Linked DNA regions of Saccharomyces cerevisiae S288C. The gene in region 1 interacts genetically with each later gene. Each region holds a gene or a part of one and is shown in the gene's direction. Other genes may lie near its edges.

Region 1 (3,762 bases):
TGACGGGTTAAAGAAATGCAGTAATATTAATTCATGGTATCCAAACATCCCCAGTATTAATTCATGGAATCCGAACCTCTTGAAAGAAATATCGTCTACGAAATTTGAGTCGAAACTTTTTGATTCCAACAAAGTCTCTGAATACTCTTTCAAAAACCTATCCATGGATGATGTTCGCTTAATTTATAAAAATATTCCAAAAGCTGGCTTTATCGAGGTATTTACTAACTTGTACAATTCCTTCAATGTCACTGCATATAGGCAAAAGGAATTGGAAATTCAATACTGCCAAAACCTGACATTTATTGAAAAAAAGAAATTATTACATCAATTGCGCATTAATGTTGCTCCTAAGTTAAGCTCCCCTGCAAAGGACCCATTTCTTTTTGGTTATGAAAAAGCTATGTGGAAGGATTTATCAAAATCTATGAACCAGACTACATTAGATCAAGTTACCAAGATTGTTCATGAAGAATATGTCGGAAAAATTATTGATCTGTCCGAAAGTTTGAAATACAGGAATTTTTCACTTTTCAACATTACTTTTGATGAAACTGGAACAACTCTAGATGATAACACAGAAGATTATACTCCTGCTAATACTGTTGAAGTAAATCCTGTGGATTTTAAATCAAATTTAAACTTTAGTAGCAACTCCTTTTTGGATTTAAATTCATATGGTTTAGACCTTTTTGCGCCAACTTTATCCGACGTTAACAGAAAGGGTATTCAAATGTTTGATAAGGACCCTATTATTGTATACGAGGACTATGCTTATGCCAAGTTACTTGAAGAAAGAAAGCGGAGGGAGAAGAAGAAGAAGGAGGAAGAGGAGAAGAAGAAGAAGGAAGAAGAGGAAAAGAAGAAGAAGGAAGAAGAAGAAAAGAAAAAGAAGGAAGAGGAAGAGAAGAAAAAGAAGGAAGAAGAAGAGAAGAAAAAGAAGGAAGAAGAAGAAAAGAAGAAGCAGGAGGAAGAGGAGAAAAAGAAGAAGGAAGAAGAAGAGAAGAAGAAGCAGGAAGAAGGAGAAAAGATGAAGAATGAAGATGAAGAAAATAAGAAGAATGAAGATGAAGAAAAGAAGAAGAACGAAGAAGAGGAAAAAAAGAAGCAGGAAGAGAAAAACAAGAAGAATGAAGATGAAGAAAAGAAGAAGCAGGAAGAGGAAGAAAAGAAGAAGAACGAAGAAGAGGAAAAAAAGAAGCAGGAGGAGGGGCACAGCAATTAAAAGTCGGAGAACCTGACTGAAAATTCATGAATCTCTTCATTTCTATAGCCTTTCCTCTATGCATTTGTATTATATATTTATTACCGTCATTTTTTACATACTGCTGCATTTTGGCGCCAGTGATAAGTGGCAAACAATTCGACGGAATCGTGGTAATTATACCACGTTACTCTATAACATCATGATATTGCAATTAATCAAACATACATTTAATCTTAATGCTATTAGCTTACTACAACTCTTTTCTTTAAGTTATATCGTATATTTCTTGGGCGATGTCAGAATATTTACCCGGATATTCCTTTTTAAGCACTGAATATGTTTGAATAGAGACTGACATATATGGCAGCAATTAAAATTGGAAGAAATGTAATGACAGTAGGAAAGACCAATTTTTATCATCGTGACACCAATCACTTCCTTAACTGAGCTTTACTTGTATTTATTTACAGGTAGATTAGGAGCAGTAGAAAGGGAAAATATACCGGGTGCATAAAGAGCATAGTCATTAAGATCAAATAGTTATCTTTCTCAAAGAGATTTCTGATCTTTACTTTCCCCATATGAAAAATGAATAAATACATTAACAAATACACCACGCCACCTAACTTATTGTCTTTACGACAAAGGGCCGAAGGCAAACACAGAACAAGAAAGAAACTTACACACAAATCGCACTCCCACGATGATGAGATGTCAACTACTTCAAACACAGATTCCAATCACAATGGGCCCAATGACTCTGGTAGAGTGATCACTGGTTCTGCTGGTCATATTGGTAAAATATCCTTTGTAGATTCAGAACTAGATACAACATTTTCTACTTTAAATTTGATTTTTGATAAACTTAAAAGCGATGTGCCACAAGAACGAGCCTCTGGCGCTAATGAATTAAGCACTACTTTGACCTCATTAGCAAGGGAAGTATCTGCTGAGCAATTTCAAAGGTTTAGCAACAGTTTAAACAATAAGATATTTGAACTTATTCACGGGTTTACTTCAAGTGAGAAGATAGGTGGTATTCTTGCTGTTGATACTCTGATCTCATTCTACCTGAGTACAGAGGAGCTGCCAAACCAAACTTCAAGACTGGCGAACTATTTACGTGTTTTAATTCCATCCAGTGACATTGAAGTTATGAGATTAGCGGCTAACACCTTAGGTAGATTGACCGTGCCAGGTGGTACATTAACATCAGATTTCGTCGAATTTGAGGTCAGAACTTGCATTGATTGGCTTACTCTGACAGCAGATAATAACTCATCGAGCTCTAAGTTGGAATACAGGAGACATGCTGCGCTATTAATCATAAAGGCATTAGCAGACAATTCACCCTATCTTTTATACCCTTACGTTAACTCTATCTTAGACAATATTTGGGTGCCATTAAGGGATGCAAAGTTAATTATACGATTAGATGCCGCAGTGGCATTGGGTAAATGTCTTACTATTATTCAGGATAGAGACCCTGCTTTGGGAAAACAGTGGTTTCAAAGATTATTTCAAGGTTGTACACATGGCTTAAGTCTCAATACGAATGATTCAGTGCATGCTACTCTGTTGGTATTTCGAGAATTACTCAGCTTGAAAGCACCTTATCTCAGGGATAAATATGATGATATTTACAAATCTACTATGAAGTACAAGGAATATAAATTTGATGTTATAAGGAGAGAAGTTTATGCTATTTTACCTCTTTTAGCTGCTTTTGACCCTGCCATTTTCACAAAGAAATATCTCGATAGGATAATGGTTCATTATTTAAGATATTTGAAGAACATCGATATGAATGCTGCAAATAATTCGGATAAACCTTTTATATTAGTTTCTATAGGTGATATTGCATTTGAAGTTGGTTCGAGCATTTCACCCTATATGACACTTATTCTGGATAATATTAGGGAAGGCTTAAGAACGAAATTCAAAGTTAGAAAACAATTCGAGAAGGATTTATTTTATTGCATTGGTAAATTAGCTTGTGCTTTGGGCCCAGCTTTTGCTAAGCACTTGAACAAAGATCTTCTTAATTTGATGTTAAACTGTCCAATGTCCGACCATATGCAGGAGACTTTAATGATCCTTAACGAGAAAATACCCTCTTTGGAATCTACCGTTAATTCGAGGATACTAAATTTACTGTCGATATCCTTATCTGGTGAAAAATTTATTCAATCAAACCAATACGATTTTAATAATCAATTTTCCATTGAAAAGGCTCGTAAATCAAGAAACCAAAGTTTCATGAAAAAAACTGGTGAATCTAATGACGATATTACAGATGCCCAAATTTTGATTCAGTGTTTTAAAATGCTGCAACTAATTCATCATCAATATTCCTTGACGGAGTTTGTTAGGCTTATAACCATTTCTTACATTGAGCATGAGGATTCGTCTGTCAGAAAATTGGCAGCATTAACGTCGTGTGATTTATTTATCAAAGACGATATATGTAAACAAACATCAGTTCATGCTTTACACTCGGTTTCTGAAGTGCTAAGTAAGCTATTAATGATCGCAATAACTGATCCGGTTGCAGA
Region 2 (2,924 bases), on another chromosome or scaffold:
GCAGTATCAACGATGAAATACTTAAAATGGTTAATAGCGTGGCTGCATCCAAACCAGTTTCACCCACAGGCTTTAACGTTCATGATCTACTTCTTCCTTCAACTAACAACCAGATGCCTGCTATGGAACAATCACACTTGCCACAGCCAGGTAATCAAAACAACCATTTTGGAACTACAACTATTCCGAATGCGTTAGACTTGGCTACAAAATCTTCTTTACAGACTGAAAACAACTATTTAATGAACTCACAAACTCTGGAAAATACAAGTCTATTGATGCATAATAATTCATCGCCAACTAAGCTATTGCCAAATGACTTTGGTTTATCATCTTGGGGTGGTCTGACAAATACAATGTCCATAAATCCTACATGTAAACCACCGGTTATTCAAACTTCAGAAATGGAATCACAAGCCCATAAATCTAGTCCTCAAGCTACAATGCCATCTTTTGGACTACCTAATGGTGGTACTCACCGTAAATCGTTTACCGACGAGTTGAACACTTTAACTAGCATGCTTTCTTCTTCCGGGTTCGCAGATACATCACTTTCATCATCAGGATTCCCCCCATCACAGCGTTCTGTGTGGAATGATCAAAAAAGCTCATTTTCGGGACCGTCGACTGCAGGAAACTTTAACAACAGCAGTATACAAAGCGGTATGCTGCTCGCACCTACATTAGGAAGCGTTGAATCGTTTCCAAATCGAACTTCTATCTGGGACAGCAGCACCACTCCGATGATGAATAAATCCGAGCTTTCCGGTCGCAATATAACTAGTACTGCGCAAGATAGCCCTGCGTTCATGGCATCAAATATCTGGTCTAGTAACAGTCAATACAATTCACCATATTTGACTAGCAACGTCCTTCAATCCCCTCAAATTTCGAGTGGAGTGGATGAAAGCCACATTCTGGATAGCATCTACAATACTTATTTAGCTATTTCCCCACAAGATAGTTTAAACCCCTACATTGCTATCGGGACACTATTCCAAAATTTAGTAGGACTTAACTTGGATTACTCGACGTTTATCAACAAATTGATAAGCATGCAAGGAGCCTACAATTGCGAATTCTTTACTGATAACAATGGATCCATTACCCACGTTCGATTTGCGAGACAAACTCCCGCTGGCCACTCAAAGGGGTTGCTGAATCAACTCTTTAGTGGATTGAACGATCCAACTGCTACACCATTTACGTCAAGGCCTCATACCTCCACAAGGGCTAGTTTTCCAATTGCCTCTTCAACTACGCAAACGTCTTAAATTTGCTCCGGTACGCAGGGCCAAAAATATTTACATACATACATAATTCGACGAAATTTCAGAAGAGACACTAAACAATCGTACATCTCTCTACTCGATGTGAGCCACGCGTCGGTTTTTCTTACCGTCGTGGCTTTAGAGGTGAGGCTGCGACACCCCATACATCTTACCCGGCATTTAATTTCCATTTTTCGCAGGAATGTGAATATGATAATAGACTTCGGTACACTCTTTTTTAGGTATAACATATATCAATTGTTCAACAACAATTATTCAAAGCGCAACTCTCCAAAGGTAGTTATTCTGATAATTTGAACCAAAAGTCCCCAGATTAAGTCTTAATTAAACTGCCCTTGCATACCGCTGTAAACGATTTGTGTGCAGACATCAATTGCTGAAACGTTCTGCTTTGGTTGTGCTTTTGATCCCGTACTATGTCTGAAAAGGCCGTTAGAAGGAAACTTGTTATTATTGGTGATGGTGCTTGTGGCAAGACCTCTTTACTATATGTATTTACATTAGGAAAATTCCCTGAACAATATCATCCGACAGTGTTCGAGAATTATGTCACTGATTGCAGAGTTGACGGAATAAAAGTGTCCTTAACGCTCTGGGATACAGCGGGACAAGAGGAATATGAACGTTTACGTCCATTCTCATATTCAAAAGCAGATATAATATTAATTGGGTTTGCTGTAGACAATTTTGAATCACTAATTAACGCAAGGACGAAATGGGCGGATGAGGCATTACGATATTGTCCTGACGCACCAATCGTTCTTGTAGGCTTGAAAAAAGATTTGAGGCAAGAAGCCCATTTTAAAGAGAATGCTACCGATGAAATGGTTCCCATTGAAGATGCAAAACAAGTTGCAAGGGCCATTGGGGCCAAGAAATACATGGAATGTAGTGCACTGACTGGTGAGGGTGTGGATGATGTCTTTGAAGTAGCTACAAGAACCAGTTTGCTTATGAAGAAGGAACCAGGGGCTAACTGTTGCATAATTTTATAAAAAAAACTTACACTGAAATGATACATTATCTTTTTAGCAAGGGAGGGAAAAACAATACCGTATTATAATTTTAATCAAATTTCATAGATATAATGGAATAAGTTAAAAAGGCTTATCGATAGTGCATGTATAAAACACAAACCCATTCGATATGTTTGTTCGTTAATGTCCTACAGATTCTTATTCGAGAGCCTTTACCAGAAGCAAAATTTCCGACGGATATAAGAAAATGGCACATCAAACCATAGCTCAAGGTACTGCGCCGATGAGCTAAACGGAACTGCCTAGTTTGATTATTTTTCGTTTATATACTTATTTACTTATTTACGCTATTTGTATTCGAATTCCTTACGAGGCGATGAGTGAAAGACGCGCCAGTAGGACGCGTCTTTTTTTTTTCAGTATAATGTAAACATATTATTGAATTGCCGAAGGAGACAAAAAGAAAAGAAAAGAGGAGATCATCTTTCATATAATCCAACCACGTCGTAGAGCAAACCACGACAATTTTAACTTTCTGTTTCAGTTAAAGGAGTTTATAACGACCAGCACGGCTAACCATGTCAACTGAACCGGTAAGCGCCTCTGATAAATATCAGAAAATTTCTCAACTGGAACATATCTTAAAAAGACCAGA
Region 3 (3,589 bases), on another chromosome or scaffold:
AACGGGAGATAATTCTCTCATAGAACTAGTATCAATTACATATTCGTCTTCCTCTTTAATAGAATATCGATTCATGGATAACGGAATAACTTTATTTTCTACCACAATTGATGGCTGTCTTGCAATTGCATTTAGGGCCGTCGATGGTTTTGACCTTACCAATCTTGACCTCGAGTACATGCTGCTGTTGCGAGTGACGGCATGACTAACATTATCCGGTACAGAAATGAAGGAGTTTTTATTATTTGCCGGTGTCATAGTGGCAGATGCGGTTAGGATGGATGCAGCCCTTCTAATAGAGGAATTTGTTCTTCTCAATGATGGAGTATAGCTTACCAAAGGGCTCCTTGGGGTGTTTGATCCAACTTTGGAATCTTCAGATTGGGGATGGTTTGCTTTAAATTTCGTATCAACTGTCAAAGGTTTAGTCTTTTTTTGTGGAGCCAATACAGGTACTAAAGATTTTGATGAGATCGACCGTTGTAAATTAGAGACGTATCTCTGCGATTTTTTTTGACGCGGAGTAGAGTTGCTGTTTTTGTTGACTAGGTTCGTCCCTCTTTTTTTTGACTTGTTGTTAATGTTTGCTTTAGATTTAGTGGTTTTGGAATTCGTGGCGGAGGGGACCTTTTGAACATTATATGAAAACAGTCTTCTTCTTAAAACTAGCCGTAATTTCCGTAACTTTTTCTTTATCTTGATTCCCAATGAGGTGAAATAATATAAGAGTCCGCCCTTACATCTAATAGCTTTTGATCGTTTTAGAGAACAACGACTGCTACTTGATTTACTGCTGACACTTGAACTATACCTGGAATTGGAAAACCTCGAGGATTCAACTCGTCTTATGGTCGGAACTCTGTTTAGCTTTTTTTTAGGTTTCGGTACTACGCTATTGTTTAATTCGATAGTTTTTATATCCTTTTCCATATTTAATTTGGTCATCGGTTTGGCTTCTTGGGTCGACGGCAGAATGGCGCTTTTAGATGTCGATTTCCTTGGTAATAACGATGATGCTGATGACGGCGCGATATCGTAGGAAACATTATCTGCTGTTGGGATAGTCTGGAATGCCGTTGAGATTGAGCCAGTTATGTTTCCCTCTGGAATAGCTTCCATTGAATGTAACTGGTTTTTAACTACATTTGAGCTGCTATAATGAAGAGAGTCATTTCCTGGGAAGTCATGAGAAGCAAAAAAGTCACTTTTGTTCGAGTCTGAGGAAGTTAATCTAGCGGTTTCATTTTGATTGATTACAATACGTGGTGAAGACGTAGTATTGTCAGAAATGTTAGCAAATGAATAGTATCCATTTGATGAATAACCGGAATTTGTATTTGTATTGGAAGTGGATGTATAGTCTGATAATGTTTGAGAGTTTCCGTCTTCATCGCGAGAAACTCCATTTTCTGCTGCAAACACATCATTTAAAAGATGATGATTATTCAAATGGTACTCTTCTAGCGTTCCTCTTGGTAAACTTTCGTTAGACGGGAATTTAAAATCCATTTGATCGCCTCTAAACGACTTGGTTTTTGTCCTTATTGGAGCTCTGATGATCATTCCGTATGATATATTTGTTGTGATAATAAGCCAAATTTATTTGAGCACTATTGTTAAGTTAATTGTTCTTGTTTTACTTGTTAAGCCGTTAAGTTGTCAACCGAATTATCAAGCACTTAAATCTATATATACAACATATTTGTACAAGAATTGATGACCTGCTGAAAGCCCAGCAATCTGGTTATCCCAGTTGAACATGTTTAAGGATAGGCATATCGACTTCTTTATCTTACTAACCGAAATATTGAATTGCCTGTGTAATGAATGGCTGGAGCAGCCTTTTTTTTATCTTCGCCAGCCATCGCTTTTTTTGAATATTTTCCACATGAAAACAATGTATGAAAAATTCTAAGGCATCGCACCAAACTATATGAAGGGGAAGTGAGTTATTCCGCAAACAGCGAGTAAGTTTTTCGTTGTATTGATTGCCCATATTATATACCGTGTTGTGGGGGCAACAGACAGAAGTAGAAGAAAAAATTTTTGTTGATTTAACTGAAGTGATGGGAAGGACATTTATTCATGCTTCGAAAATAAAACATGCGGCACGCAAAAGAAAACATCATTCCAACTTTAGAACTCTGATCAAATTATTGAACAATGATGCCTATAAGATAGAATCATCAAAACCGTTGAAAAATGGTAAACTTTTCAAATACTGGAAAAATAGGCGTAGATTGTTTTCAAAGATAGATTCGGCGTCGATATATATGACTGATGAGCTGTGGTTCAGTGTGACGCCCGAAAGAATTGCCTGCTTCCTGGCAAATTTTGTTAAGGCATGCATGCCAAATGCCGAAAGAATACTGGATGTTTTCTGTGGTGGGGGCGGGAACACCATACAATTTGCCATGCAATTTCCTTACGTCTATGGAGTGGACTACAGTATTGAACACATATATTGTACTGCGAAAAACGCCCAAAGCTACGGTGTGGACGACAGAATATGGCTGAAGCGGGGATCCTGGAAAAAGCTAGTCTCTAAGCAGAAACTTTCCAAAATAAAGTACGACTGTGTATTTGGATCACCCCCGTGGGGTGGTCCAGAATACTTAAGAAACGATGTGTATGACTTAGAGCAACATCTAAAGCCTATGGGGATTACCAAGATGTTGAAAAGTTTTCTTAAACTAAGCCCTAATGTGATTATGTTTTTGCCAAGGAACTCTGATTTGAACCAGCTTTCTCGAGCTACGAGGAAAGTACTAGGTCCATTTGCCAAATGTAAAGTATTATATGTAAAGGAGAATGGATATATGAAAGGAATATTTTGCATGTGGGGGGAATGCTTTTTTAACTACGAACCAGCAAGTACGGAGAATAGTCGAAGGGAGTCGTCCGAAAAGGAAGAGCTGAGTTCTGAAAACGAAGAGCTCTCGAAAAGAAAAAAGCATGAATCCACAACAACGACCAAAGATAATACTGTAGACATTTACGACGTAAATGGTTAAACACTTGTTCAAGTTGAATCGTATGATAGAAAATGCAATGACTATGTTATGAATGTATATATAGCACATAAAGAGGATCGCTTACGTGAATTTGGGAATAATTAAAACGTTCTTTTAGCTGCGGCTGCTCGTCGATAGGAGTGATAACAAATTAAGAATTAGAAGGGATGTCTTTTTTTTCTACCAGCAAGTTGCCACGCGCTTCAGACTTTAGAAGAGGTAGTAGCAATCCCTTCGAATGAGGTTCGATTATATCTCTCACCATTCCACGATTTATCACGGAAATACCATTCAAAAATAAATAAGGCGACTGAATGGATTCCAAGGCAGCACTAGTATCGATATTTAGTTTATTTTGTTTGATATACTTTTCTAATTCATAGCCATGAGAGTGTTTTTCCAAATCAACAGTGGCCAATTCGGGTGAAATCTCAAATTCTCTTTGTAATAGATTTTTTAAGAAAATGGAGTCTGCTTGTGATGATTTAATGAATAATACCGCTGGAGAGGTTCTTATTATATCTAGAAAATCTGTTCTAGGGTCGAATTTTTTGTGATCGCAGTTTTTCTGCAAG

Evidence for each region.
Region 2: of TOR2 (region 1) and RHO2, extra expression of one rescues a mutant of the other (dosage rescue), as found in Saccharomyces cerevisiae (3 studies listed by BioGRID).
Region 3: mutations in TOR2 (region 1) and TGS1 together harm fitness more than expected from each alone (negative genetic interaction), as found in Saccharomyces cerevisiae (3 studies listed by BioGRID).

The regions. Positions count from the first base shown.
Region 1 is NC_001143.9:61,393-65,154, reverse strand, and holds the start of TOR2 (phosphatidylinositol kinase-related protein kinase TOR2), read left to right. Parts: upstream 1-1,795; coding exon 1,796-3,762. Other genes in the region: MNN4 (Mnn4p), read left to right, coding at 1-1,225. UniProt on the Saccharomyces cerevisiae protein: Phosphatidylinositol 3-kinase homolog, component of both TORC1 and TORC2. TORC1 regulates multiple cellular processes to control cell growth in response to environmental signals. Nutrient limitation and environmental stress signals cause inactivation of TORC1.
Region 2 is NC_001146.8:454,857-457,780, forward strand, and holds RHO2 (Rho family GTPase RHO2), read left to right. Parts: upstream 1-1,708; coding exon 1,709-2,287; downstream 2,288-2,924. Other genes in the region: NST1 (Nst1p), read left to right, coding at 1-1,274; TOP2 (DNA topoisomerase 2), read left to right, coding at 2,848-2,924.
Region 3 is NC_001148.4:252,748-256,336, forward strand, and holds TGS1 (RNA methyltransferase), read left to right. Parts: upstream 1-2,066; coding exon 2,067-3,014; downstream 3,015-3,589. Other genes in the region: AIM44 (Aim44p), read right to left, coding at 1-1,563; pheromone-regulated protein PRM4, read right to left, coding at 3,166-3,589. UniProt on the Saccharomyces cerevisiae protein: Catalyzes the two serial methylation steps for the conversion of the 7-monomethylguanosine (m(7)G) caps of snRNAs and snoRNAs to a 2,2,7-trimethylguanosine (m(2,2,7)G) cap structure.